Linked DNA regions of Bombyx mori. The protein of the gene in region 1 binds, or shares a complex with, the protein of each later gene. Links are inferred from orthologs where the notes say so. Each region holds a gene or a part of one and is shown in the gene's direction. Other genes may lie near its edges.

What was found.
Region 2: mediator of RNA polymerase II transcription subunit 1 (region 1) and mediator of RNA polymerase II transcription subunit 20 share a complex: the UniProt entries of both Drosophila melanogaster proteins name them as parts of the mediator complex. The link is inferred for Bombyx mori from reciprocal best matches to the Drosophila melanogaster genes MED1 and MED20.
Region 3: mediator of RNA polymerase II transcription subunit 1 (region 1) and mediator of RNA polymerase II transcription subunit 24 share a complex: the UniProt entries of both Drosophila melanogaster proteins name them as parts of the mediator complex. The link is inferred for Bombyx mori from reciprocal best matches to the Drosophila melanogaster genes MED1 and MED24.
Region 4: mediator of RNA polymerase II transcription subunit 1 (region 1) and mediator of RNA polymerase II transcription subunit 23 share a complex: the UniProt entries of both Drosophila melanogaster proteins name them as parts of the mediator complex. The link is inferred for Bombyx mori from reciprocal best matches to the Drosophila melanogaster genes MED1 and MED23.
Region 5: mediator of RNA polymerase II transcription subunit 1 (region 1) and mediator of RNA polymerase II transcription subunit 8 share a complex: the UniProt entries of both Drosophila melanogaster proteins name them as parts of the mediator complex. The link is inferred for Bombyx mori from reciprocal best matches to the Drosophila melanogaster genes MED1 and MED8.
Region 6: mediator of RNA polymerase II transcription subunit 1 (region 1) and mediator of RNA polymerase II transcription subunit 4 share a complex: the UniProt entries of both Drosophila melanogaster proteins name them as parts of the mediator complex. The link is inferred for Bombyx mori from reciprocal best matches to the Drosophila melanogaster genes MED1 and MED4.
Region 7: mediator of RNA polymerase II transcription subunit 1 (region 1) and mediator of RNA polymerase II transcription subunit 16 share a complex: the UniProt entries of both Drosophila melanogaster proteins name them as parts of the mediator complex. The link is inferred for Bombyx mori from reciprocal best matches to the Drosophila melanogaster genes MED1 and MED16.

What each region holds. Positions count from the first base shown.
Region 1 is NC_085114.1:6,968,256-6,971,755, forward strand, and holds part of mediator of RNA polymerase II transcription subunit 1, read left to right. Parts: intron 1-76; coding exon 77-311; intron 312-1,131; coding exon 1,132-1,307; intron 1,308-3,500. UniProt on the Drosophila melanogaster protein: Component of the Mediator complex, a coactivator involved in the regulated transcription of nearly all RNA polymerase II-dependent genes.
Region 2 is NC_085134.1:1,809,452-1,812,440, reverse strand, and holds the end of mediator of RNA polymerase II transcription subunit 20, read left to right. Parts: intron 1-307; coding exon 308-450; intron 451-1,239; coding exon 1,240-1,499; intron 1,500-2,229; coding exon 2,230-2,439; 3' UTR 2,440-2,489; downstream 2,490-2,989. UniProt on the Drosophila melanogaster protein: Component of the Mediator complex, a coactivator involved in the regulated transcription of nearly all RNA polymerase II-dependent genes.
Region 3 is NC_085113.1:5,802,057-5,806,309, reverse strand, and holds the start of mediator of RNA polymerase II transcription subunit 24, read left to right. Parts: upstream 1-1,453; 5' UTR 1,454-2,179; coding exon 2,180-4,253. UniProt on the Drosophila melanogaster protein: Component of the Mediator complex, a coactivator involved in the regulated transcription of nearly all RNA polymerase II-dependent genes.
Region 4 is NC_085107.1:8,828,202-8,831,701, reverse strand, and holds part of mediator of RNA polymerase II transcription subunit 23, read left to right. Parts: coding exon 1-103; intron 104-338; coding exon 339-562; intron 563-3,500. UniProt on the Drosophila melanogaster protein: Component of the Mediator complex, a coactivator involved in the regulated transcription of nearly all RNA polymerase II-dependent genes.
Region 5 is NC_085118.1:10,646,257-10,650,550, reverse strand, and holds the start of mediator of RNA polymerase II transcription subunit 8, read left to right. Parts: upstream 1-1,494; 5' UTR 1,495-2,195; coding exon 2,196-2,369; intron 2,370-2,673; coding exon 2,674-2,919; intron 2,920-3,506; coding exon 3,507-3,603; intron 3,604-4,294. Other genes in the region: uncharacterized protein LOC134199859, read right to left, coding at 1-1,182. UniProt on the Drosophila melanogaster protein: Component of the Mediator complex, a coactivator involved in the regulated transcription of nearly all RNA polymerase II-dependent genes.
Region 6 is NC_085112.1:8,189,583-8,193,734, reverse strand, and holds mediator of RNA polymerase II transcription subunit 4, read left to right. Parts: upstream 1-1,352; 5' UTR 1,353-1,608; coding exon 1,609-1,676; intron 1,677-1,749; coding exon 1,750-1,930; intron 1,931-2,069; coding exon 2,070-2,221; intron 2,222-2,668; coding exon 2,669-2,847; intron 2,848-3,395; coding exon 3,396-3,571; 3' UTR 3,572-3,739; downstream 3,740-4,152. UniProt on the Drosophila melanogaster protein: Component of the Mediator complex, a coactivator involved in the regulated transcription of nearly all RNA polymerase II-dependent genes.
Region 7 is NC_085108.1:235,489-239,510, forward strand, and holds the start of mediator of RNA polymerase II transcription subunit 16, read left to right. Parts: upstream 1-1,222; 5' UTR 1,223-1,378; coding exon 1,379-1,440; intron 1,441-1,878; coding exon 1,879-2,056; intron 2,057-2,794; coding exon 2,795-2,927; intron 2,928-3,456; coding exon 3,457-3,586; intron 3,587-4,022. Other genes in the region: neogenin, read right to left, coding at 700-784. UniProt on the Drosophila melanogaster protein: Component of the Mediator complex, a coactivator involved in the regulated transcription of nearly all RNA polymerase II-dependent genes.

The sequences.
Region 1 (3,500 bases):
GTTATGAGGGTGGTGGCAATCACCTCTTTTTCTCTCTGTATACCAAAAATAATATTGTTTATGTTTTATTTGTCAGCTGTCGAACTCGAAAAGGTGTTGATGTTCGAAGTGAGCGCCCTCTCGTGGCAGCACATTTCTATATCGTTGGAACATCCGCTAGAAGAATGTATGGCCACCGTCGAACTTGAACTGTCGGATCCGGCCTCGCCCCGCGCGTCTGTGTACACGCTGAACAGTCCGGCTCGAGACCACATCGACGACTACATCACCAGGGTGCTGCAAAAGAGTCATTCTATACCAATAACGTTAAGGTGAGATATCATTATAAAGCAAATTAAAAAAAAAACAATTATATTTTGCTTTTTTCATTGGTTAGATTCTAACTCTACACACATAAAATAAGAAATTCTAGAATATTGTATTCTTCATAGAACACGATGCTAAAGATCAAAAGTCAGCTTCGACATAGTTAAAGTTGCTTGACGGGCGCAACGTGATGTATCGTAATTTTTTTTTATCAAATGTCCAATAATTTGTATGAAAACGTATTGGCTAATGTTTTTTTTTTTTTTTAACACTGAAACTCCTCGATAACTGTTAAAGAAAAATATACAGGAAATCGCTTGACGGACAAAGGAATTCTGAATTCGTCGTGGCCTAACAGATAAGACGTCCGGTGCATTCGTGTTGAGCGATGCACCGGTGTTCGAATCTCAGGTGGGTACCAATTTTTCTAATACGTACTCAACAAATGTTCACGATTGATTTCCACGGTGAAGGAATAACATCGTGTAATAAAAATGAAACCCGCAAAATTATAATTTGCGTAATTACTGGTGGTAGGACCTCTTGTGAGTCCGCGCGGGTGGGTACCACCACCCTGCCTATTTCTGCCGTGAAGCAGTAATGCGTTTCTGTTTGAAGGGTGGGGCAGCCGCTGTAACTATAGTTGAGACCTTAGAACTTATATCTCAAGGTGAGTGGCGCATTTACGTTGTGGATGTCTATGGGCTCCAGTAACCACTTAACACCAGGTGGGCTGTGAGTTCGTCCACCCATCTAAGCAATAAAAAAAAAAGGAAAAAATGTCACATGGCTTTTTTTTTTTAAATACTATCTCGCTCGTTTCAGGTCTCTCGTCAAGATATGGGAGCGCGAGGCCGCAGCGAAGCAGATGAACGGCGGCTACTCTGCCCTGGACTCGAATTTTAGTTGCGGCGTCGGCGGACTCGACCCCGGCGGCGAGCAGCTCAAGCACGAGCCCGCGCACCCGCACCGCGCGCTCTACCCGCACCCGCACCACGCCGGTAACCATGCCTCCCCTACTCTTATACATAACATTACAGATCTCTCTCTCGTATATACCTAGTCTTGCCATAAATACTATTATTTTAAAAATAAAAAAAATTCTATTGCAATTTTTTTTTTTTGCTCTTGTAGGCAGACGAGCATACGGCCCACCTGATGGTGAGTGGTTACCGTCGCCCATGGACTTCAGCAATGCCAGGGGCAGAGCCAAGCCGCTGCCTACCGCTTAATACTCTCCACAAGCCTCGTTTGAAGAAGGACATGTCATAGCGCTCGGGAAACACCGTGGAGGGGAGCTCATTCCATAGCCGGATGGTACGTGGCAAAAAAGATCTCTGGAAACGCACTGTGGATGACCGCAGTGGCTCCAGGTAGTATGGATGAACTCTACTCCGGTGGCGGGCGGTGCGATGGTAAAAACGAGATGCCGGTATCATCTCGAACAATTCCTCAGAGCACTCCCCATGGAACATACGGTACAGAATACAGAGGGAACCGAAGTCCCTCCGCAGACCCAGAGGCTCCAAGTAATAACATTTATTACTTTTACAGTGTGTTAGTTTAATACATAAATATAAAACAATTTAAAGTATAAAAAGCTTATTCGAAGTGGTCTCCATTGGCTGCAATACAGTTCTTTAAACGTTGAGGCCAGTTATCAATAGAAGCACGCACTCTTTCCGCGGGAAACATTTTCACTGCCAATCGTACGGATTGTTTTAGGGACTCCAAATTATCATGGCGTTTAGAGCAAGCCGTACTCTCTAAAACTGACCATAAATCATAATCCAGCGGATTAAGATCAGGACTAGACGACGACCAGTCTTCAGCTCTGATGAAGTCCGAAACGTTCGTTTCCAACCAAAACTGCGTTGACCGAGCTTTATGACCTGGCGCCGAGTCTTGCTGGAAGGACCATTCTTGATTATTGAACATGGTGTTGTTAAGGGGCTTCACTACCTTCTCAAGAATGGTATCTTGATACACTTGTACCGATGTTTTGATACCTTTTTCACAAAAGTATGGCTCAGTCACTCCTTCATAGCTAATACCCCACCAAACCATCACTGAAGTCGGATAGTGCCCACGTTGCACTCTGTCGACTAATTGGGAAGCTTCCTTAGAGATTTGAGCAGAAATACAGTAATTTTGTTTGTTAAAATGTTGCTCAATTGTAAAAAATTTCTATGACCGCCCTTTGCTTACCGCTTCAGTTGTTGTTTCGATTTTACCACCCTATTCTCTTTTAAATTATCAGTTAAGAAATGACCAGTACGTCTGTTATAGGCTGCATGCAAGTACTAAGTCATCTTTTAAAATACTCGACATGGTTCTAGGTGCTATCTTCATCTTCCGAGATAAAATCTTTTGCTTTCGGACAGGATTTCTTCGAATTCTTTCCCTTACTGCTTTGACCACCTTTTTCGTACGAACACTACGTGGACGGCCAGATCTTTTTCTGTCACAAACAGAGGAGGTCTCATTGCACCTATTAATAGCCCGGCACACAAACATTTTACTAATACCAAGCGTATGGAGAGTTTTAAACATTGCATTTGGCTCCATACCTACTTTGTGTAATGCAATCACAGCGATTCGGTTCTCTTTATCACCCCACTCCATTTTAATATCGCAAAATATTGTACTATGTATTGGCGCCAAAATGAGAAAACTCAATGAGCAATCATATAAAAATGACAGATTCCAAATTCAAATGTAATATTTTGTTTATTTTTAATTGTAACAGTATTTATGGCCAGACCAAGTATATTTCAATCGATAGGTACACCGCCTGAAATTCGTTTCCCAAGATACTTGTCCACCTGATGTTACTATAAAGAATTCTCTCTCTTTCTTTCTCCTCTGTCTCTTTTTTTTTATTGCCCATGTAGGCAGACGACCATACGGCCCACCTAATGGTGAGTGGTTACCGTCGCCCATGGACTTCAGCAATGCCAGGGGCAGAGCCAAGCCGCTGCCTGTTGCTCTCTCTCTCACACACACTCACTCTCTCTCTCTCTCTCACACACTCACTCACTCTCTCTCTCTCTCTCTCTCTCACACACTCACTCACTCTCTCTCTCACACACACACTCACTCTCTCTCTCTCACACACACACACACACACACTCTCTCTTTCTCTTTCTAACATTTTCTATATTTAATTGCACCACAATTTAACTTAATACTTC
Region 2 (2,989 bases), on another chromosome or scaffold:
ATAATACTAATACTAATAAAAGTAATAACTCTATGTAAAGGTAGAAAGTAAACTTCTTGACTTCATACGTTATCTCAAATTCTTCTTTAACCTTATCCGGTGTATGAAAACTATCCCCGAATAAAAATACATGTTAGTGTAGCTTATTTTTGACACAGTTTGGCCAGACTGAAGGAAGAGTATCATTAAAAATAATAACGAAACAAATCTATTTATTATGTTTTTGATACAACTACAAAATCTACCATAAAAAAATCGTGAAGAGTGGATTATATTTAATAAACTGTTTCAATTATTAACTTGACAGCTTACAGCAATATCCAGTGCCAGAGAACAAGACCGGAACATATGTAGTGGAGTTACTTACAAAGCGTATCTTAGCATTAGGGGCGACACAACAAGGACAGTTCCTGGTTGATTGCGAGAGTTATTTATCACATCCACTCATGGGTACGTGTTTACTGAATCCAAGCTAAAAGTAAAAAGAAAGACACATTCCACTTAGCGATTTATAGAGAAATCACACAGCCCATCGCCAATACATGGATATGACATATTTGAAAATATTTCAGACATTACAAAGGTGTCAGCTAGTTTATTGTACTTAAAGTCCTCGTGGCCTATGTGGCCCGAAGGTGGGTACCAATTTTCGAATGAAATACGTACTTAACAAATATTCACGATTGACTTCCACAGTGAAGGAATAACATCGTGTAATAAAAATCGAACCCGCAAAGTTATAATTTGTGTAATTGCTGGCGGTAGGACGTCTTGTGAGTCCTCACGGTTACCACCATCACACCTATTTCTGCTGTGAAGCAGTAATGCTTTTTGGTTTAAAGGGTGGGGCAGCCGTTGTAACTATACTGAGACCTTAGAACTTATATCTCAAGGTGGGTGGGGCATTTATGTTGTAGATATCTATGAGCTCCAGTAACCACCATCCATCCACTTAACATCAGGTGGGATGAGAGCTCCCATCTAAGCAATAAAAAATAAAATGCAAGGAATTTATAAAAACCAAAGCTAATCGTGTACTTGATAGTTGAATTGAAAAGTTGATGAGATGCTGATACCAATATTTATTATCTTTTCATCAAATTCAGCCAGACCACTTAACGGTTACCATTACTTGCATACGCTTGTGGAAATTAACAATACGAAACACACTTACCTAAAGTTTTGTCTAATGCTGCTTTTAAAATTTCTGACAGCAAAAACGTAACTCAAATATTCCAGGTACAACAAAAACAGTACATATATTACACAACTCTGAGCAGCCTGCGTCTGTCTTCTCAATCCTTGAAAGTGGCACGAAAAATATTCACGTCATAGCTGACGGACTATTTGACTTGTTAATGATGAAGTTGTCTCAGCATTATACTTCTAAGAAACAAACCAAAATCGAGAGCAAAGGACCTAGGTTTGAGCTCGGAGATTTCTGTGTGAAGCTCGGATCAGTTACTATGAATCAGAATTTTAAAGGGATTTTGATTGAGGTGAGTGAATTGAATAATTAGTGAATAGCTATGTTAATATATGTGAACACTTGGAGGCATCCAGAACGTCCGTCACTATATCTATAATAGTACATAAAGATAGATGGAGAAATACGTTCCTAAAAAGAATACTTCCGTAATATTATGTTAAAAAAATCTTTGTTTTTTATAGATTGCTGTTGTTGTCAAAGTTTTCAAAATTTGCGTAGTGAATATTAGGGACCATGAAAATTATATCATACTTGACATTGGCTACCTTAATACATGAGGTTGAAGTGCCAATTATATTAGATAACTGTTACCTATTATTTAAAGTGGAACACCTTGGTGGCGTGGTGGTGCCTTGTGGCAGAAATATGCCCAAAGGTCATACCTAGTTTTGGGGATTGAATAGGCTTGATAATTATAACAATATGAAGCTATTTTTTCTATGGAAATTTAATTGTCAGGCATACATTAGGCATCTCTTTTTTTTGAGTTTTCTTAGTATTAGATGTTCGAGCTCACCGTCTATCTGGTGCTAATTAATACTCAAAACACATTTTTGGCCAAGGGGCAACGGCTAGACTTTCATATTGTTGCATAGACTAGACTGGATGTGTAGGAGTCAATCTATCAATCAATTCAATCTATCAATTCTCTTTTCCCTAACTCTCTGTCATTGCCTCAATATCTCAGACTATATTGATATTATTCACAGTATCATTAGAATATGTTCTATAATTTCTAGGTAGAATACAGACCATGCGTAATGGCTAATGCGGTCTGGGGTCTGCTTCGAGAGTTCCTTCAAGGATTGTTAGGGCCAACTGTTCCGGTCCAACCTCCTCAGCATCTAATAAGCAGAATGAACGAAATATACACTCCAATAGACACAATATATCAGTATTTAGAACATTTCAGTGCTTACAGAAAGACTACAGGGATGAGAACGACATGAACTAAGTTGACTGTTTTGTGTTTTTTTATTAAATAAATATGTACATTTTACTCATTCGTTTTTAGTTGTTCTATGACAAATGTCTGGTAGTTATGTTTTAAGTAGGGACATAGAGTCAAGAGATTTTTTTAGAAAGTTGTCTCTGGCAGGTAGATTGTTAATAATGTTAAACTTGAGAGGTTCGAACTTTAAATCTTTCTAATGACATTAATCAGACAAATATTGTTACTATTCTATGTAGTGATCTCGTGGGGTTATTCTAGATTCACCCAACTAGTAGGTGAGATCACGGGGCTCAAACCTGGCGTCGTTGCCAACATGAACCTTAGCAAGAGCCATGCTTCGCAGAATCTACCACCGGATCGGAAACGCGACCCACTGAGAAGATCTGGGGAGAAACTCAGTGGGCTTTGTCTGTGGATTCATTTACTTGCCAAGCCCTTCGTCGCAAGCGAAGGGTTCGACGAGAACGATGACCGGTGCTTGGGGTACCTAAAAGCACCGTTAGTGGATCGGGAGGATCCGAAATGACGTGTTTTGGGCGACGTCG
Region 3 (4,253 bases), on another chromosome or scaffold:
ATCTAGTTTTATACGTTTCAGGGCGATCTGTTTTAGAATTAAGTGACTTTTTAAGTCGAGCACTGTCCAAACTTAAATTTTGGCTTGTCTCCAACGCTCTTAATCTTTCTGTTTCAAAAAGTTGCATTGTGTTATTTTCTAGAATGCGGCTTCCTCCTCCTGTTTCCGTATATTTTGATAATGAACTTATTCCATCTGAAAATGAAATAAAATTTTTAGGAGTTATTCTAGACGCCAAATTATCAGGTTTATCACATTGTTATTACGTTATAGCTAGATGCGAACGAGTTTTGAATATTATGAGATGTTTAACTGGAGTCTGGTGGGGTGGACATCCATATAATCTAAAGCTCCTATACAACGCTCTCATACGAAGTATTTTAGATTATGGTACTTACTTTCTTGAACCATGTAATGCAGTCGGACTAAATAAGCTTGATGGCATACAATCAAAAGCTCTCCGTTTAATAACCGGTGCAATGAAATCTAGTCCTATCAATGCTTTACAAGTTGAGTGTGTTGACCCTCCTCTGCGACTCCGTCGTCAATATCTTTGTGACAAGTTTCTGTTCCGTGCTCTACAATTTACCAAGCATCCCCTTCATACCAAATTATCTACTTTATCACATTTAGTTTCATCTTCCCCCTACTGGAGGCACAAGTCTCTACCTTGTTTAGTCGTGAGTTTTCGTAAATTTTCCTCTTTGCTTGCCCCCACTCACATGTCTCATCGTCTCTCTATTTTTTCTGCTGAATATGAAGCATTAACTCTTGTTCCTAAAATTCATTTTACCTTAGATATATCTCGATCTATTTTTTCTGCCAATATCGATTTTAATATCATCTTAGATAGAGAGTGGTCAGATCGACATTACATTTATAGCGATGCATCTAAAAATTCTTCCTCTGGTCTCGTTGGTGTTGGAGTTTATCATCAACAATCAAAAATTGTCCAAAAAATTAAACTTCCACCAGAAAGCTCTGTTTTTACTGGGGAATGCTACGGATTATTTAAAGCTATAGAATATGTTAATTTGATGAAATTACATAAATCTGTTATTTTTTCTGATTCCAAAAGTGCGCTTCAGGCACTTCAGAAATTTCCTTTCAAATCTTGCGCCAATTACCCTGTTATTGTAGATTGTAGAAAATTACTGTGGGAATGTAATTTAAAAGGTTTCGATGTAATTTTTGCCTGGATTCCTAGTCACGTGGGTATTTCTGGCAATGAATTTGCTGATAAACTTGCCAATGATGCTGTGGATTGTGGAGATATTTATCCATACAAAATCTTCATAAATGATCTTTTGTGTCTTCCGAATTCAGACCTGCGCGAATCTTGGGGACAAACATGGGCTATTTCTAGTCAATATAAAGGAAAGAATTATGCCCAAATACAATCTGTCATTCCTACCAAGCCTTGGTTTTACAATTTTAGATTTAATAAGATCACGACTACTATCATAATCCGGATGAGACTGGGTCATGCTTGCACTCCATCTCATTTGACTAGATTGGGTATAGTCAATAACAATATGTGTGATTGCGGCGCTGATGTTGGCAATTTAAATCATATTTTTTTCGCGTGCTCCTTAAATGACTGTTCCTCATTTATTGATTTATTAACATCCCTTGGTATTCCACTCCCGACTTCTATTAATACTTTGCTGTGTACTATGAACTATGATATTTATTTATGTATTTCAAATTTTATCCTGAAACATAATATCAAATTGTAATTATGTATATAAATACCTACCTGATCCATTCTTTTTAATTATCCGTTTTTTCCTTTTTCTCCTGTTTCCCTACCTTTACCCTTGTATGTGGCTAAATGCACAAACAGTGCAAGCTAAAAAAGAAAAAAAAAAAAAAAAAAAAAAAAAAAAAAAAAAAATGTCTATTTTGTGATTGGGCTATTATTATTCAAGTTTGATCATATAAAGTAATGTTTATTCTCAAATGCTCGCTATAAATAAAATATCTTTAAAAATGTGATAAACTTAATATGCCACACAAATATAACGAATTAATTTCAATATTCAACAGTGAACAAGAAAATGTAATTTGTAACCTCAAAGACTAGTAGTAAAGTGTTGTTTAAACGACTAATATCACGTCAAAAATGTGTGAAATGTAAGAAAGAAACATTATTGTGCTCTAATAAAATACAATAAAAATGGATGCTTCCAAAATAACGAGTAAAACTAGTTCACTAAAAGCTTTAATTTTAAAAGCTTGGAAAGAACGATGGACTGATATTCAATGGGGCATCAACATCAAAACTATACTGCCGAGGGGCGTCAGTGGTGACCTATATAATCTGGCTGATTGTATTCTTCAACAAGCCATGGTAGGCTGTGGGGCCAATCAGTTAGTGATATCGTATTTGAAACATTCACTTGCGTGTCATTTGGTCTCTTTCGCGGCTGTGTTACAACGAATCGCAAAATTTGATGCTTTTCACAAACCTCATTGTATAATAAGCTTGTTGGAGTTCCTTGAAACCTTTTTGGAGAGTATTACATGCAGAGGCAAGTTAGAAGAAGAAGTTTTAGCTTATGCTGTATCATCTATAATATTGTGGCTTTTACAAGTATTTCACTATTCATTAACCAAGTATCCAGCTTCAAGTTCTGTTCAAAGTCAGGAATTATTGGAGAAATCATCAGTTTTACTGAACTCTATTGTTAATACAGATTTTCTGATTGCAATGTTCTATTTGGCCAAGCAGAATGATCCTGATGAGTATAACGAAGTGACAAAGAAATGTCAAGAGATAACAGCATTTATGATGATGAACACTCAATTCAAACCTCCGATGACCATACATGTCACTTTACACAAAATCTGCAATATGGAATTGGATAAAATAGCACCCTTAAACAATAAACCAGAAGCTGTAACCTATTGTCTGCAGGCTTTAATAGCTATAAATGTGTTCTCAAACCCTAGTGCAGGCATGCAACAGATCTCCAGCCAACTACTAATGGTTCAGAAAATAAAAGGCTATTCATTGTCACGTCTCTACTGTGAACTTATTAGAGCTTGTTTCATTTCACTAAATGATTCTAGTAATGATGCATCGAAGCAATCATTGTGGGCTGCATTCACTTTTCTAAAAGTTCCACAAGTGATAAATCACCTCCATAATATGTGTGGGACAACAAATAAGGAAAGTGAATATTCTACTGAGGTTGTGGAAGCTTTTGAAATGTTATTACAATCAGCTCCACTCCTGGATATTGTTGATACGAAGAATTCTTGTAATAGTGTTATTTCACTTATAGAGCCATTAGTTAAACTTAATGTTCTGTCAGATAATACTTTGACATATTTTAAACAAAAACGTGAGACTATTGATCATCCTTTACAAAAATTTGAGCCAATAGGATTACAAGGCTCAGTCCCATTATTTATAACTCGTGTTGAACCTACATTGGCAGAGATTTTAAAAGCATTGAGTGGTGAATTTCACAAAACTCAAGAGTCGCTCTATATCATGCTATGCCAAATAGTTGGTCGAACTACATTGGATACCATCCTGGCCGTTGCAACTGTGGAAGGAAAACTAAAAATGTTTGTGTCAAGACTCATTAAGTTTAATGAATTTGCATTGTTTGCTGCAAGTGAAAAAGGTGCACCACAATCAAAAGTATATATATTTGACATTTCATTTTTGCTTTTATGTTGGATAGTCCAAGATTATGGAGCTGATGTTGTTCTAGAAGAAAATGGTGATTCATTTTTTGAGAAATGGGTAAGGGATTGTATGGTACATAAAGGAAATTATAAATCTTCAGATCAGATACTTCAGAAATGTGATCATGTTGTTGATGTTATCATTCACCATTTGAGTGCTCCTGACTTTGATTTCAAAAATACTAATGTCAAACCTCATGATCTTTGTATGAATATCACTGGTGCAGTCAAAGAGGTTCTTTTTGCTTGGGAACAAGGTCTACTTTCGGCAACAGATGTTAAAAGAATGTTGGATTCTATAAGACAAAAAATGGCTTCCTTGGCAGTGTGTGCATCAGTATGGCTTTGTTCATACATCAATGTTGTCCATCAAGATGCATCAATAAAACCCATGAATATGGTTCAGCAATTTTTAACATCACCTACTGAATTAGAATTAACTCAAATAGACAATTTTCAAGAAAGAGCAATTTTGATGTGTCAGATAATAAGAAAATTACTGTTTAAAATTCATCCTACCTCAATGCCAAAATCAAAAGAGCAGCAGTTGC
Region 4 (3,500 bases), on another chromosome or scaffold:
TCTACATCATTCAACTGTTGCTACTTCATGGTTTTGAGTTAAGAAACAGGGTTCAAGATTTCGTTAAGGAAAACTCACCAGAACACTGGAAACAAAATAATTGGTAAATATGTATATATGTATACTGTACTAAGTTTCTATGTCAATACAATAACTCGTAAATAATATATTACTCCATTAGGTACCTTATTTGTACTTTCGTTTAGAAACGATGCCTGTGTTTAGTATAAAAGTAATATGAAAATAGAGAAAAACCAATTTTATTACAAATTTTACATACGTATATATAAATAGATCTTAGAATATTTTATTTATTTATTGTTTAAAATACGTTTCAGGTACGAAAAGCATTTAGCATTTCAAAGGAAATATCCCGAGAAGTTCACACCAGAAGAAGCGAGTGGTGCATATGGCGCACCCATACCCGTTTATTTGAGTAACGTTTGCTTAAGATTGATTCCTGTTTTTGATATAGTCGTACATAGACATCTGGAGATACATCAAGTTGCTAAATATCTAGAACAGCTATTGGAACATTTGGGATATCTGTATAAGTTTCATGGTAAGTTATCGATCGCAGCTTTGGATTCTGTGTTACATCTAATGTGCTACAACAACGAGAATTGCAGCGAATTATTGTGGTTACGTTACAACGTTACACTAGTAAACAAAACAACATTATAACTACCCACTATAGTAGAATTATTTTGTCCGTGCAGTTTGAGTCATAAAACATAGCCCAGCTAGGGCGGTGAGCATGTTGCGCGGGCGCAACGTCATTATCGATAAAAACAAATGAGTTATCGAAGGCAGGTAGGTACACGGCGGCGGGGTGGTATACGAAGAGTGGTGGTACATTGTTATGTTATGAGTCATTTGTACTTACCTGCAAATTATAGTACATTATGTCGAAGATAAATGTGCTTTTATGTATTCGTTCTCTGAATTTCTTTAGTGACACAATGGCTACTCCTTTGTTTTGTATCAAACCGGCAGAATTTATTCAAAATAATATTTGTACGTGTTGTTATCAACAATGTGTTAAAATTTTTCACTGAAATAAGAATAGATCCCGAAAAGTTACAAATTGTTAATGTTAACGAATCAACGTCACGTGATACATTGATGGCTGTGATTGGCCAACGATGACGTCATATCGCACGAACCAATCACAAAACAGGAAACGCAACAGTGGCACCAATTGCCAAAATTTAAAATTATTACAACACGAAGAAAAAAGATGGACGCGCATTTCAATTCTATATTTGTAAATTAATTAAAAACAATATAATGAGTATTTGAAGAAGTAAACGCATTTATTCATTTTCTTGGCCACCTCAAGATACATCTAAGAAATAGACGCAACATTTCTATTGGACCTTCAGCACCGGATCATCAATTAAGTTGAACCAGACGCTTACTTGAGAGACGCATCGGCCATTGAAAAGGAAAATTCGGAAAATCTCACCAGCTTCGCAAGATTACGGTGCTTTGGCAAGGCGTGCTAACCAAAATTTGCTAAATTTTTTCCCCTTCGCGTATATAGTAGTACTGTGCTTTCTTCAAACCTTTTTTGCTTTTCATTTTGGGTACGTATTTCACTAATATTGAGCAGCTGTTTTGTTTTATTATTTAAAAACTGTAAGTACACCACCATTTACTTGTTTCCACAATGACTACATCAGATCATAAGGTAGAATTAATGATGAAAGATCTTAAAAGAAAACGCGCATCTATTAAATGTCGTTTGACTAACTTTGGAAAATACGTGAATTCATTCGAAGGTGTAGAATTAACTCTTCATCAACGTACCGAGCTCAAACTGCGGATGGCAGGATCGCAAAGTTTAATGAATGATTTTAACCTCGTTCAGACTCAAATAGAAGACATTAGTGTAGAAATCGACATAGAAAAACAATTAGAATCGCGTGAAGATTTCGAGCAAAAATATTATAATATTCTTGCCCTTGCTGAATGTCTGACCACCGCTGATGAAAAGTCAAAAGGTATGATGTCTGAACCACCGATTACAAGTTCCAAAAGCATTAAATTACCCACTATATCTGTTCCCACCTTTGACGGCTTATATGAGCACTGGTTAGAGTTCCGCGATACATTTTTGTCATTGATACATAATAGTGAAACAATTACAGAAATTCAAAAATTTCATTATTTAAAATCGTCTTTGTCCGGTAACGCTAAATCGGTCATAGATTCCATAGAATTCTCTGCTAATAATTATAAAGTTGCTTGGGAACTACTGTTAAATCGATTTGATAATACGAAACTATTAGTACATAACCATGTCAAATCCATGTTTACCATGCAATCATTGACTAAAGAATCACCAGTGCAATTACGCAGATTAATTGATAATATTTTAAAAAACCTTCGCGCTTTAAAGCTTTTAGGAGAACCTACAGAGTATTGGGATACGTTAATCATTTACATTATTGTCACAAAATTAGATTCCATTACCGAACGGGAATGGGAACAGCATAAGTGTAGTTTAATTACATCAACCAATAACACCAAAACTGTAGTTCAACTAAATGACTTACTTCAGTTTCTTAGAAATAGGGCGGATATTTTGGAAACACTTATAGTATCACACAGTAAAGCAGGCGTATATAGCGCGACAGACAATAATAAAAAGCAATGCAGTAACCAGTTAACATCTAAATTTCATTGCAATATAGTTTCAAATAAACCAAATAATAATAATAAATCACAAGGAAAGAATGCACGTAATTACAGACCCTGTATAATGTGTAATGATTTACATCCGCTATATTCATGTCAAAAGTTTTTGGACCTTAGTGTACAAAATAGATTAAAATTTATCCAAACTAAACAGTTGTGCCCTAATTGCATGCGTCCAGGACATACTGTTGACACCTGTGTGTTCGGGCCGTGTCGAAAATGTGATAAAAAACATAATTCATTAATTTGCGATGTAATTAAAAATTATGATCATAGTTTCCCTAAAGTTACGTTGCCATCTTGTGAACAATCAGCCGTCCCGTCTAATACGAAAGATAACTCGAACGCACACTCTTTTCAGGCGCAAACTACTGACACAATTGATAACATGCATCCAGCGCAACCAGTTTTGCTGTCCACAGCTATTGTAGAAATACGTAGCCAGTCGGGTGTTTACCATCAAGCGCGCGCTCTACTCGATAGTGGCAGCGAACGTTCATTCATCACACAAACACTTTGTGACAAATTAAATCCACCAATATTACAGTCCACTCAAAAAATCCACGGCGTAGGTAATATAATAACACAGTGTTCGCAATCCTGTGATATTGAGATCAAATCACGCACTGGTAGTTATGCTGCACGCATTCAGTGTTTAATTCTACCTCATATCACATCAAACTTACCTATGAAGACATATAACGTTAATTTGTTTACCATACCGGATAACATTGTACTTGCAGATCCAACGTTTTATGATAGTCAGCCGATTGACTTATTAATAGGCGCGGATTTGT
Region 5 (4,294 bases), on another chromosome or scaffold:
ATTATTAACATTACACTGAACACTATAAAACGCATTATTGTCATTTTGCACACCCTCGGAAAAGTTAGATTGACTTTGCTCACCTCGGTTGTTTAACTTACGGCACTGTTCCCGTGCATGTCCAAACCGTTTGCAGTAGGAGCACACTGGACGCTGTTTCTTCGTGGTCACGAATTGCTCTGCAGAACCTGGCACAGCAGCGGCAGGCGTGGCAACGGTAGGCTGGGCGACAGCGACAGGCACAGCGGTGGCGGGCACGACGGCCGCGGCGGAGTTTGGAAAGCGCGCGCGCGGCGCCGGGGCACTCGCACGAGCGGCGCACGGTTCAGGCCGACTCGCAGCCTGGGCCGGCTGGGCACGGATCGAACGCACACCACTAGTGGACGACACTGGTCTCGATTGAGTCTCCTCTATCGAATCTTCTATATTCCGAGCATGGTTTAATAATGAATTGAAAGATGTGATTTCTTCACGGCGCAATCTTGTGCGTATTCTATTATGAAGCAACCCGTATATCATATCAAGTTGTACTTTTTCAGCAATATCATCCCGCGGTAGCTTTGCCATAAGCGCACGAATACGAGCAACAAACTTGTCTGTGTTTTCTTTATCCTGCGGGGAAACAAATATTTCCAAATATATTCTATGTGGTGGAAGGCGGGTGCCATATGCATATATTAAATTTTCTTTGGCTTCGTTCCAAGTGGAGATGTGATGCTTTAATCCTAGCCACCACGTAGCTGCGTCAGCAGACAAAAGCATGGCTAGGCCTCGTATGATGTTAGCGTCAGATACTTGAACGCATTCTGTATAACTTTCAATTGCATCTATAAAGGCCTCAACAGATTCACCAGGTGCACCGCTGAAAGAAGCTCTGCAACGCGCCAAGGTACCATCTACGTTCACTGGGGGCATCGGCGGAGGTGCCGGAGTCGACGATCTTTGTTCCATCACGTACGACATAATGTTCTTAAATGTTTCGGCCTGCGAACGTTGCAGCGAGGCCATCAACGCTGAAACATCATCCAAGTTGAACGTAGAATTGTTGCTACGTGATTCGGCGTGGGGGCGATCATGGGGGCTATCATGCTCCTCGTGATTTTCGTTGGCATTTGCATCTGCAGCAGGAATAACGTCGTCTTCGCGACGTTGCTGGCGATCTTGACTTCTAGTTAAAGGCATTCTTTACAATTAAGCACCAACAGCATACAATAGTTAGCAAATTTTTCACAAAAGCGTGCGCGCCATTTTGTTAGTCCAAGCAAGAAAAAAATTAGGAAACGTTGGGCAGCCAGATATAGTGAGGGGTAGATCTCAGGGGTATTTAAAACTATGGGTTAGTCACCAATATCGAATTTCGAATTTTAATCTTCCTTTATAACAAACAATTTTCAATTTTTAAACAATAATTACATTTAGACGCGGGCGCACGCTATTCACACTCAAAACGGAAGCGCCCGGAACATAGATTATACACTGTTACAAGATTGACATAGATACTAACTATGTATAGCGAGCGGGCATACGGCCGCGAGAGTGACGTACCGGTCGGTTTGCTACATATTTAATATTTGTTCAGAGTGGGGGTATTCATCTGATTAATCCATGGAATAACCGACACACCTAATCTCTTAATCCAGATAGAAATATCAGCACTGTCGATTGCACCTATAATTGAGGTGATGTCTGCCATGTACTTTTGTCAGTTTTTCAATTTTTTTTATTGATGATCACTTTGTTGGTGCAACTAAATAAATAAATAAATTAAAACTATATATAAAAATAAAAGTAGTGCCAACCCTAGCAAATTTCTCGTTTCGTCCCAATTAACCGCAATTTTCGGGTAAATAGGGATTACACCTATTTTTGCATTTTTTGCTTAAACTGGAATGCTAGTTGCATAATTTTAAATTAGACAACAAAGATGCCCCCAAGACTCAATCATTTTGATCCTGATTTAGCATTATATACATCAACAACTACCTTAAAATTGCTCATAAAGTTGGAATTTGTCCCTAATCGCCCCATTTTACGGTACGGTAGGTACCGTATGGTACCATTTTGAGATATATTACTTATGTACCCTTAGTCCCTTACGGTTATTTAATAGCTAGGTAAGGTACGGTACCTAAACCTTATTAAAATCTAACAAAGAGAATTAAAAAGTTACAATTGTGTACCTACCATTTACAACAATGAATATGCAGCAGCGAGAAGAAAAGCAACTAGAAGCTACAATAGTTGCGATTTTAAATAGAGTAAATGATTTAAAAACTGCAATACAAGCATTGATAAATAAACTAGAAACGGAATACGAGACAATAAATTGGCCAACTTTTCTAGATAATTACGCGATTTTATCTGGTCACGTAAGTCCAATTGTATATTGAAATTCATAGCATAAATAGTGTGTGTAATAGTCAACAAGTCTACAGAGATGGATTTCAACTTGAAGTAGGAAAGATAATTAATTTATTATTGAAAAAACAGTGAAACAAAAACTGACGAGTTCAAAACTCACTTGATGTAACCTGGTTAGCGTGGTCACTGATATTTATTAGGTATTATCCCATTTTGAGACTTGTTTTCAGATTTAAGTGCATTTGTACATAAGCTTTTCACTTTAAAGATCATGTGTTATTTAGTTAAATTTTATTAACTCTTTATTTTCAGCTGACTGGCCTCAGTAAAATTCTCCAAGCCGAACAAGCAGCTTCATTGCGGTCTAGAATTGTTTTACCACTTCAATTAAGTTGCGAACGTGATGAAACACTGGCTCATTTGACAGAAGGCAGAGTTCCAGCTTGCACTCATGATTTAGTTCCAGATTTACTTCGTACCAAACCTGAACCCCAGGCTGAACAGCGTCTCCAGCAATTTAATCATAAAGCTAGTACTTTAAGCTATGATACAGCACAGGTATAGACAATAATTAACATTTAATTTTAAATATCAGAAACATTTAAAGAAGCATAAGGTTTAATGTACCACAAGGAAAAATATCCATTATAACTATTTGGGCTAATTTTTTATGACATTCTTTGTAGACTTCGCAATCTAAATTAGTTTTCATTGTAAACGGTAAAAAAATAGATATATTTGGGGTTAAAACATGTAATGCACTGTTGAGTGAATAAACCCACAGCTCACTTGAGATATAGTGGCTGGGACCCATAGATATCACAGAGTTAAATCAACCTCTTGCTTTGAGATATTTGGTTGAAGTATGTATCAATTCTTTCTTTTTTTTGTTGTATCACTTGTCAGGGTGGTCATGGTCATCATTCAGTATCATTGCAATCATATCATCATTGAATTCTATTAAACTATGTATAATAAGTTCTTTTATATAATCAAGATTTGTCTGCAAAATTAGCATGATAATCAAGTTGAGTACTTAAGACATGCAATTATAACAAGCTCACTTTCTCATGTAATGTTGTGTAGTTGTTACCTACAATTATATAGATGGATGATGTATGGATTATAATAGTTTTATATTCCAGAAACACATTGCTCAATTCACTAAAGTTGTCAGTCACGTTTGGGAAATTATATCCAAAGGCCGCGAAGACTGGGAAGGAGAGTCAATGAGATCTACAGGTTAGTAAAAGTTACAATAGAAAATTATCATAATTACCTAAACAGTTGACAGATTTTAATAAACATTTCATTCATATTATGTAGTCCATTTTTAACTTCTAGAGGTTGAAAAAAGATGCGGGTCACTGTAGTGAAAAACAATTTGTCTTCAATAAAATTTAGACACACATGCTTATCTTATTTCACCTGACCCAAAACACATGCCCGAAGTCTCAGTTGTATGGCAGGCAGGCATCTTATAATTCAAACTGGCATGCCTGTTTTCTTCATAACAAAAATACTTATACACGTCAGTGACTCAGGATACACTCAGCTACTCACAGTTCTAGACCCCAGTCATTGGTGAATATCTACAGAAAAGACAGGTGGGATTATTCTGACCATTGTACACATATCCTAAGTTATTAGTTCATATAAGGTAGGTATGACTTTACTTTGACAAAGATGAAAGATGCCCACCAGAGATGCCCAAGATTTTGCCCACCACTTAAACAAGTATGATGATAATGCAATTTCACAATACAAGCAGTGCGATTATGGAATTCTCTCCCTCAACCTATTTGTGCTAGTTCCTCTCTAGAAGTTTCTAAGAGTCAAATGAAGAAACATTTCCTGTCACTTTAAAAAAGTGTATTTAAGTTATTGTTTTATGTATGTTTATATGTATTTTTCATTTCATATTAGTTTTTTT
Region 6 (4,152 bases), on another chromosome or scaffold:
TGAGTTTGAAGGTCTCAGTTTTAACAGTATAACGTCAGCCACACCCTTCAAACCGAAGCGCATTACTGCTTCACGGTAGCAATAGGCAGGATGGTGGTACCTACCCGTGCGGACTCACAAGACATCCTAACAACACCATTCTTTAACTCCGTATTGACTGATTATCGGAAGATATAATATGAGCATCACAGCGTGTAAGTAACCATCCATTTTGATTGAATTAAGGATTCGAAGTCTCAACTGTTTTGTCTATTATCTTGCCCTTTATACCGAAACGAATAACTGGTAGGTGGCAATAATAGGAAGCTTGGTCGTAGATACGTATCTACAACCTACGCTATACCGCCAATAATTACGAATTATAAATAAACCATAACAATCAATATCACAATCTTTCAATCCTTTTTCAGTATTCGCAAGTCTAATAATTAATAGAATAATTTTTTTTGTGCAGTGTTTCAATAATTTTGATGGAATCAGATGTCCTTTATTTTGAGAATATTTTTATTACACCAATATTGTATTTCTTCTGACAAATATTCTGAACCTGTGAAATGGTTTTTTTTTATCTAAGCTTGAGAGCTATGTCAGTGTAACTTATTAAGTAGGTGAGCTCACGGGGATCTAACCTGACGACGTTGCTAACACTAACCCTAGCAAGAGCAATACTTTGCAGAATCTACCACGGGATCGGAAACGCGACCCACTGAAAAGATCCGGCGAGAAATTCAGTGGGCTTTATTTGTGGGTTATTTTACTAGCCGAGCCTTCGTCGCAAGCGATGGGTTCAACGAGAACGATGAATGATGACCAAACGATGTTCAAATTCATGAAAGTGCACAACGGGTAGAAAAATGAAACGAAATCGCTACATGTGGTTTTTCGGAGTCTTTCAATTAACGTCTCAGGAAATAAACACGATTTTACTGAGAGATCATATCATAATAACTAGACTCTACAATACTCTACATGGGTAGGTACCAGCGTACTGTGTATTTCTGCCGCCAAGTAATCATGCATTCTGATTTAAAGGGTGGAACACACTTTATAGTGTAAAATAGAAAAGTGAAGTTAAAGTTGGGGGCAGCAATCACTTTGTGATGTCTTTAAGCTCCGGTAACTACTAATAGGCCTTGAGGTCATTCACCCATCTTCATAAGAAAAAGTAAATCATCTCATCTCGTTACCAGTAGTAAATTTTATTTTATTTCTTATAACGTAAATAGGCTACGGCCTTATAAAACAAAGTTTGTAGATATAAATTATACTGAAACTCACTTTAAAACTAGAAAAACTGTAAAAGTACGAGAATAAGTTTCTCTATATCATAGAGAAAAATATTTCAAGGCTCTACTAATTATTAGTCTGTGCTTGCTGTGGAACATAGTCTATGACTTTCACGTTTGTCGTCTGCTGTATTGGAAACATCAAACAATGTTATTATTTTTACTGTAAACATTGAATGTAGTTACCACGTACATAGTAGCGTTTTTGATACAAGAAATCCCAAGAGTCGCAGCGTTGGGGGGTCGTTTGTCCAGTTCATATGATATAAGGAAATAATACATATCGTTTATATTAAAAAAAGCTGTTAAGCTATATAGAGCTATGGCGTCACATTTAAGTACTAAAGATCGCTTATTGGCACTAATAGATGATATCGAACTTATTGCTAAGTGAGTTAAAACACGATTGAACTGTGGAAAACATTACCGATCAACTTCATGTTCTAATTCTTTAAATTTTCAGGGAAATAATAGAAGTTTCCATAGCACCAAAACCACAGAAAGTGTCCGCTGCAGATCATGCTCAGTTGACGGACCTACTTCTATCAAAACATGGAGAATTGAAAAAAACATTAGACCTAGCTGACGAACAAGCAAAGATCCAACAGAAAATGAATGAACTCAAAGCTGAAGTAGATAGTAAGGTAAATACTACAAAAGAGATTTATTTTAAGTAAAAAATGGATAAAATTTTGGAGTGGACTGACTCATCCACTGCTAGTTCACAACAATTTAAGCCACAAGCGAATTATGTAATTGAAATGTTTTTGTTGTGTTACTAAGGATCAAGATATATATCACCTTCAAAGACAATTGAAAGATGCAGAACAAATTCTGGCTACATCACTGTATCAAGCTCGACAGAAACTTGCATCAATAGTGAAGTCTAGAAAGAGACCTGTACCCTCTGAGGAGTTGATCAAATTTGCACACAGGTTAGTAAACAATTAAAGATTTCTACATTGAAATTAAATATTTTTTCTGAGTCAGGTCCTTAAAACACATGATGAGTACTCCTAAATATTGAATATTAAATATTTATGATCTCAACAGAGATTTCAAACCTGACCAATGACAACAGTGAGACAATGATAGTAGGCACATTGACTAACAAATAAATCAATGAGATGTTTAGTATATTAACAGTTGATTAAGTTTATTAATGCAAAAAGTCTGAATGGATATTAGGTATTGTGTCTGAATAGCCAACAATGTTATGAAAATAACTATCTACAGAAAACAGTTTCTTTCATAACTATAGAGTTACACTTTAATTAAATTACATTAAAAAGAATTTTTAAATATTAGACAGTACACTATTTTTGATGTGAGAACTAAATAGTACTTAAAAAAACTTTTTTTGACTTACTGATATTTTACAGAATAAGTGCATCTAATGCTGTCAGCGCACCTTTGTCGTGGCAACCTGGTGATCCTCGTCGGCCTTATCCAACTGATTTAGAAATGAGATTAGGAATGCTCGGTCGCCTCTGTGATCTGCCATTGAATGGTCACACGCCTTCTACACTGAATGAACTTCATCGTATAACAACTGGTGGAGGTATAAATGCATTACTCATTATATTAATGAATCATTCTTAGAACAAGTTGCATATGTATAGAACTCTTTGTGCAGTACATATTTATACAATTCTAGTATTGGTACTTTATCGTTATAGTTAATTTGATTCATCTACAATAAGCATGTATTATCATAGTTATTAATAGCTATGAGAGAAGTGGGTGATAGGGAACACCAAACACCTAAACTACTCAGCAAGTGCTTTGGCAGATATATCATGTTTTGGACCACTGTATTAAACTCAAATATACAAGAATAATATTTTTCAGGAAAGTTGAATTAATGATCAAATTTCTATAGGATTTGTAAAGAATAAAAAAAATCTCCTATGTTATTGCCACCTCTTTTTATTAATATTGTCAACAGAGGCTTCCTTCAAAACCCATAACCCATGGAAATTATTTAAGAATATTCTTATCATCAGAATTTTACAGAAACATTTTACCCTTTTGTTAATTGCATTAGGTAAAAAAAACATGTAAAACCATTTGCTTGTTAATCAGGTTTACTGTGTTATATTATTTCAGTACCAGCTTCAGCTTCAAGCCAATTCACTTGGCATCCATCAGGCGAGCTACACATGTCTGTTGGAGGCGGTAACTCTGTAGCTATTGATGGCCGAGGGAAGGATGCTCCCAACCAAGAAGATGTTGAAGTTATGTCCACAGACTCCAGTTCAAGTTCAAGTAGTGATTCACAATGAATACAGAAAAACCGTGGACTTCATTTTGATTAAAAGTGTAGTGCAACTCAACAAGTTAAAAAGACTGATGCTTGTGTTTATTATGAAAAAAATATTTGTAGAATTAATTCAAATGTTATTTAAATATCCTCATAGAAATGACATAATAAAAAAATTTATTCCACATAATCGTTTTGTTATATTTGAACAAAAATTTAACCTCCAAATTTATTTTTCGATATCTATGCACGCGAACTCTGCGATTAAGAGTTGGAAGTGCGAACTAGCCTGTTGACATAACCCAAACAGTTTCTCGTCAGTTCTTCTCAGTGGGTTGCGATTCTGATCCTGTAGGTTTTAACGAAACATTGCTCTTGCCAGGGCCAGTGTTGGCAAACTCTCTCAGGTGGAGCCAGTGAACTCATACACGTCCGCGCGTTCCTGGAATAGCCCCTTAGGCTACCAACGAATGGGTAGGTAAAATATATCAACGATCACGAGGCCCGATAGCACCGGAATATATTACAACTAATACTACTCATAGGAGTTGTATAAGTGTTTGGAGCTTTAAGACAACTTAGTCCGGATACTATTGCCCCTAG
Region 7 (4,022 bases), on another chromosome or scaffold:
ATATGTACATATTTATAATTTTATCTCATAAGATCCCATATATCGCGATCACATATTGAAAGTTAATACTTTTTGTTTTTTCAGCCATTAATTGTCGAGTGTGTGTTACAATAGGTATCCCGTCCGTGTGTTGTTGGAATAGCCCCTTATACTACCAGCAAATAGGCAGGTAAAAGTTACAATTTAATAAAATATACGAGACGTTGGATAAGTATAATTATGTATGTAGTAATACTAGTACAAAATTATAAAGTTAAATCAGAAAAATCCAAAGGATCGAATAAAATTATCCAGAGAAAAAAACAGAATAATTAAAAATAACAAAACTTCACTTTTGACCGTAAAACAGAAAGTATTATTGAAGAAGACATATTTTCTATTAAAAGTTCATAACTTTAGTCCAAAAGTAATAAAATATATACCGCGCCCAAGCCGTACACATCCTCATAAATTTTATTAACAACCGCTCTAAAAGCGTCAGAGAGACATAAATACTTACTAAACTTAAATTAGGTAGATTTGCAAGATAGTAAATAAAACGCTTCAGAAACTAAATCCAAATGTAAATAATTTCCTTATTTTAAATGACTTATGCCAAAGTTCTCGAATATTTTAACTTGGCATGTGCAGGCAAGCTCACAGTTACTTGAAGACAATGGATCGATAATAAATGCCGTATTTTACATGAAAGGAGCCTACCTTGAACGTATGTAAACAAATGTAGCGACAGCCACAAGAATATCCAGTTTCTCACGCCGTAAGCTACGATCCCTGTCCGAAACATGGTTCAAACCAATAGAAGACCACTGCACTAGAGGTTTTAATTCATAACTATCACATTTTCACATAAAATCAAAAATATTTATGTTAAAGTTCACAGATAACGAATTCGGAGCGATACTACGCGATCCGCCATTTTCATGTCCACTTACGTTCGGAAACAATTCGATATTGAAAGGGCATTGCCCGGGACGAAACGGAGCGCCCTGAAGTTAGTACACTTCGTTGATTTCTGTCAAACGAGAAATGGAATTGGCAATGGAAATTCTGACATACAATATGAAATTCGAAATCGCTAGGAGACAAAACATTTAAAAAATAAATATAATCCGTGCCAACCAAAAATACGTATAATCCTTTTATCATTCGTTACATACAATTGGTACTTCCACAAATAAATATATAAATTCAGATCCAAGCAATAATAAAACGTTATTGTCATTTTGACACATTTTAAAAACTGACGTGATAGGTATCAACAAATAAAGTTTTTGCAATCTTATTAACTTCAAATTTCCAACCTGCTTTACATGCGTATTTTAATAAACATTAAACATTTCGTTCACAAATCGCTAACCGCAGTCCGCGGTAGTTTGTAATGGAGCTAATATACTCTATGAGACGCAAGCCACTTAAATGTGAACCTCCGCACTTCGAAAAGTAAATAGTTTAAATTTATATCAAAAGTTTATATTTCTATCCAAATTTACTAAAGTTTACAAATTCTTCTTCTTCTTGCTTCGGTTTCCTCAATACTGAGGGTCGTGACCATCTCCTCGCAACAAGAGTTTACAAATTAAGATATCTTTAACGGCAGTAACATCAACTTATTTTTTAAGTTACCGTTGTTCATGATGCCTTCCATCATAAGAAAACACTAAAAGGATAAAAATAACAAATTAAGGAGAAAAGTAATAGGAGACTGCTCAGCTCATGGATGTATATTATAAAAAGAGCTGACTTTAGAACTTATCACATCTACATAAAATTCAAGTATTTTAAAATAGTCCCATGCGTTCTGTGTTCTGTTTGTAAAACATTATTTCTGTTTCTTGGTGTTACATAAACTCAATGCTTAATAATGTTGTCTATTTCTAGTGTAAAAGACTCTGAAGTAGTCCGACCAATATGTACAATATCATGTGCAAATATCATAGCATTCTCATCACCGACAGAGCTTAGTGATGTGGACGGAGCAACATGGGGAGGTCATGTGTATGTATGTGACTTAGATACCCCATGGAACAGTCACAAAGTTACAAGTACAGCTTATCCTGTAAGTGTGAAATAGTAAAAGTATAATGAAACTATGTGATACAGATCAGTTATTCAAAAGTGGTATAATTTTACAACCAAATGAGCTCTTTATGTATTAACACTATTAATGAGTTTCCATATCAAATAGTAGACTAGAACCCTATGTGGCCAGGTTTTGTTCGCATAAGTGAACAGACCAGCTCACTCACCAAGAGTTAAACAATTACGGGAGATGATAAACAGTGTCAGATGATCGTCATTGCCTACCATCATTATGTTGGAGAAATATTCAGTGAGACTCTTTAAACCTTACACACATCTACATTAATGCTATCAAATGTCAATCTGTTCATATTATCAATATTTTAGGATCTACAGTAATTGATTTCACTGTGGTTATGATATGATTTACTCATGATTTACAGATATGATTTACTCATATTTGTAACTTCTTCATAACTTAGTATTTGTGATGATATATGCTTCTTACTTATAATTGATATCCACATCAACAATTTCAATTATTTAACAAAATGATCTAAAAACTAGTTTATAGCAGTGATTCTCAAACCCTGTGCTGCCAAAATTTTGAAGTTTGCTGTCAAATTTTATACTCAAATGATGACCATACTATTTTATACGGTCTATAGGTTCGGAAAAATACATTAAGCTATCTAAAAGTTTGTATGGAAATACTCTTACAACTTTGTTTCTTTATGCAACTATGTTCTAATAAAATAATGGATACAAATTCCAGGTGTCAGCTCTAGAGTGGGACCTGGAAGGCAAACAGTTGTTAGTAGCCACTACAGTGGGTGATGTGTCTGTCTATGGACAGAAAGACTTCCTCCTCAATGATTGGACATGTCTTTACAGTGCTAACTTCCCTGGTAAGATAAAAATTTAACTACCTAAGTACAAAACTAGTTATTTTAGTAAAATTGTTTATCTTAAAGCATTACGACTACTGCCACTTCTCTGATGTTGTCGTACACTAAATGCATTGCTATTTTAAAATCTTTAATGTAATTTTGAGTCAACTTTTTTAATTGATTTATGCATAGGGGTTGTTTGTGGTACCTAAGAACATATAAGATCAGATGGCTCTCTAAGTGCAAACTTAATTCAGCCCTTATTTAAACGCTTAGATAGTCAACATTTTCATATTCTGGTACCATCGCCCTGTCTGTTCTATCATGAGACATAATGTGGCTCCAATTGATGTTTGGGATAGCTGTCACTGCAACATGACTCTGGTCCCATGTCTCATGATGAGTGGTGGCTTTTAAAAATATTTCTTTGAATAGATCTTAATAAGTTATAAACATGTAATAAAGATTCTTTTCAAGGCCATATCAATAAAGATGTTTTCTTGTTTTTTATTTTTCATTTTTGTCAATAAATGACAAAATATTTCAGGAGAACACATAATCCAAGGGGCCTTTTTCCACAATGGACGTCGTGTGGTGGCCGTGGATAAAAAATCAGATGCGGTTATCCCTGAAAAAATACAAATGCTTCGGTTCTCTCCTACTCTCAAGGGATTCGGGTGAGTGTATCGGGAGCTTGTGCAATCTCTCAGTAGGTGCAAAACAGACTGCAGAGCTACTTATTGTTTCTGACAATTAATCTAATTATAAAGATAAAGAAACCTTTATTAACAATCTTAATGCATATTTAGGTACATACTATTAATGTAATTTGTCGTGATCGTGACATTTCTTCTTCCACGTAGAACCTGCAATGGCCTTTATGTTGTCTACCCACCTTTAGAACGGTAGTTCTTTTAACCAATCAGTTTCTAATTTAGCCCATTTTTTCTGTTTTGCTTCTTATTAGATTTATCCAATTATCCAAGACTAGCTTTTGACCGCGACATCGTCCGCGTGAAATAGTTCACAAATAATGGTTTATTTTAGAACAAATTTGGTTAGCATAAAAAACATTATGGTGAGCCAACCTTCACATATAGGCATATGCTGTCC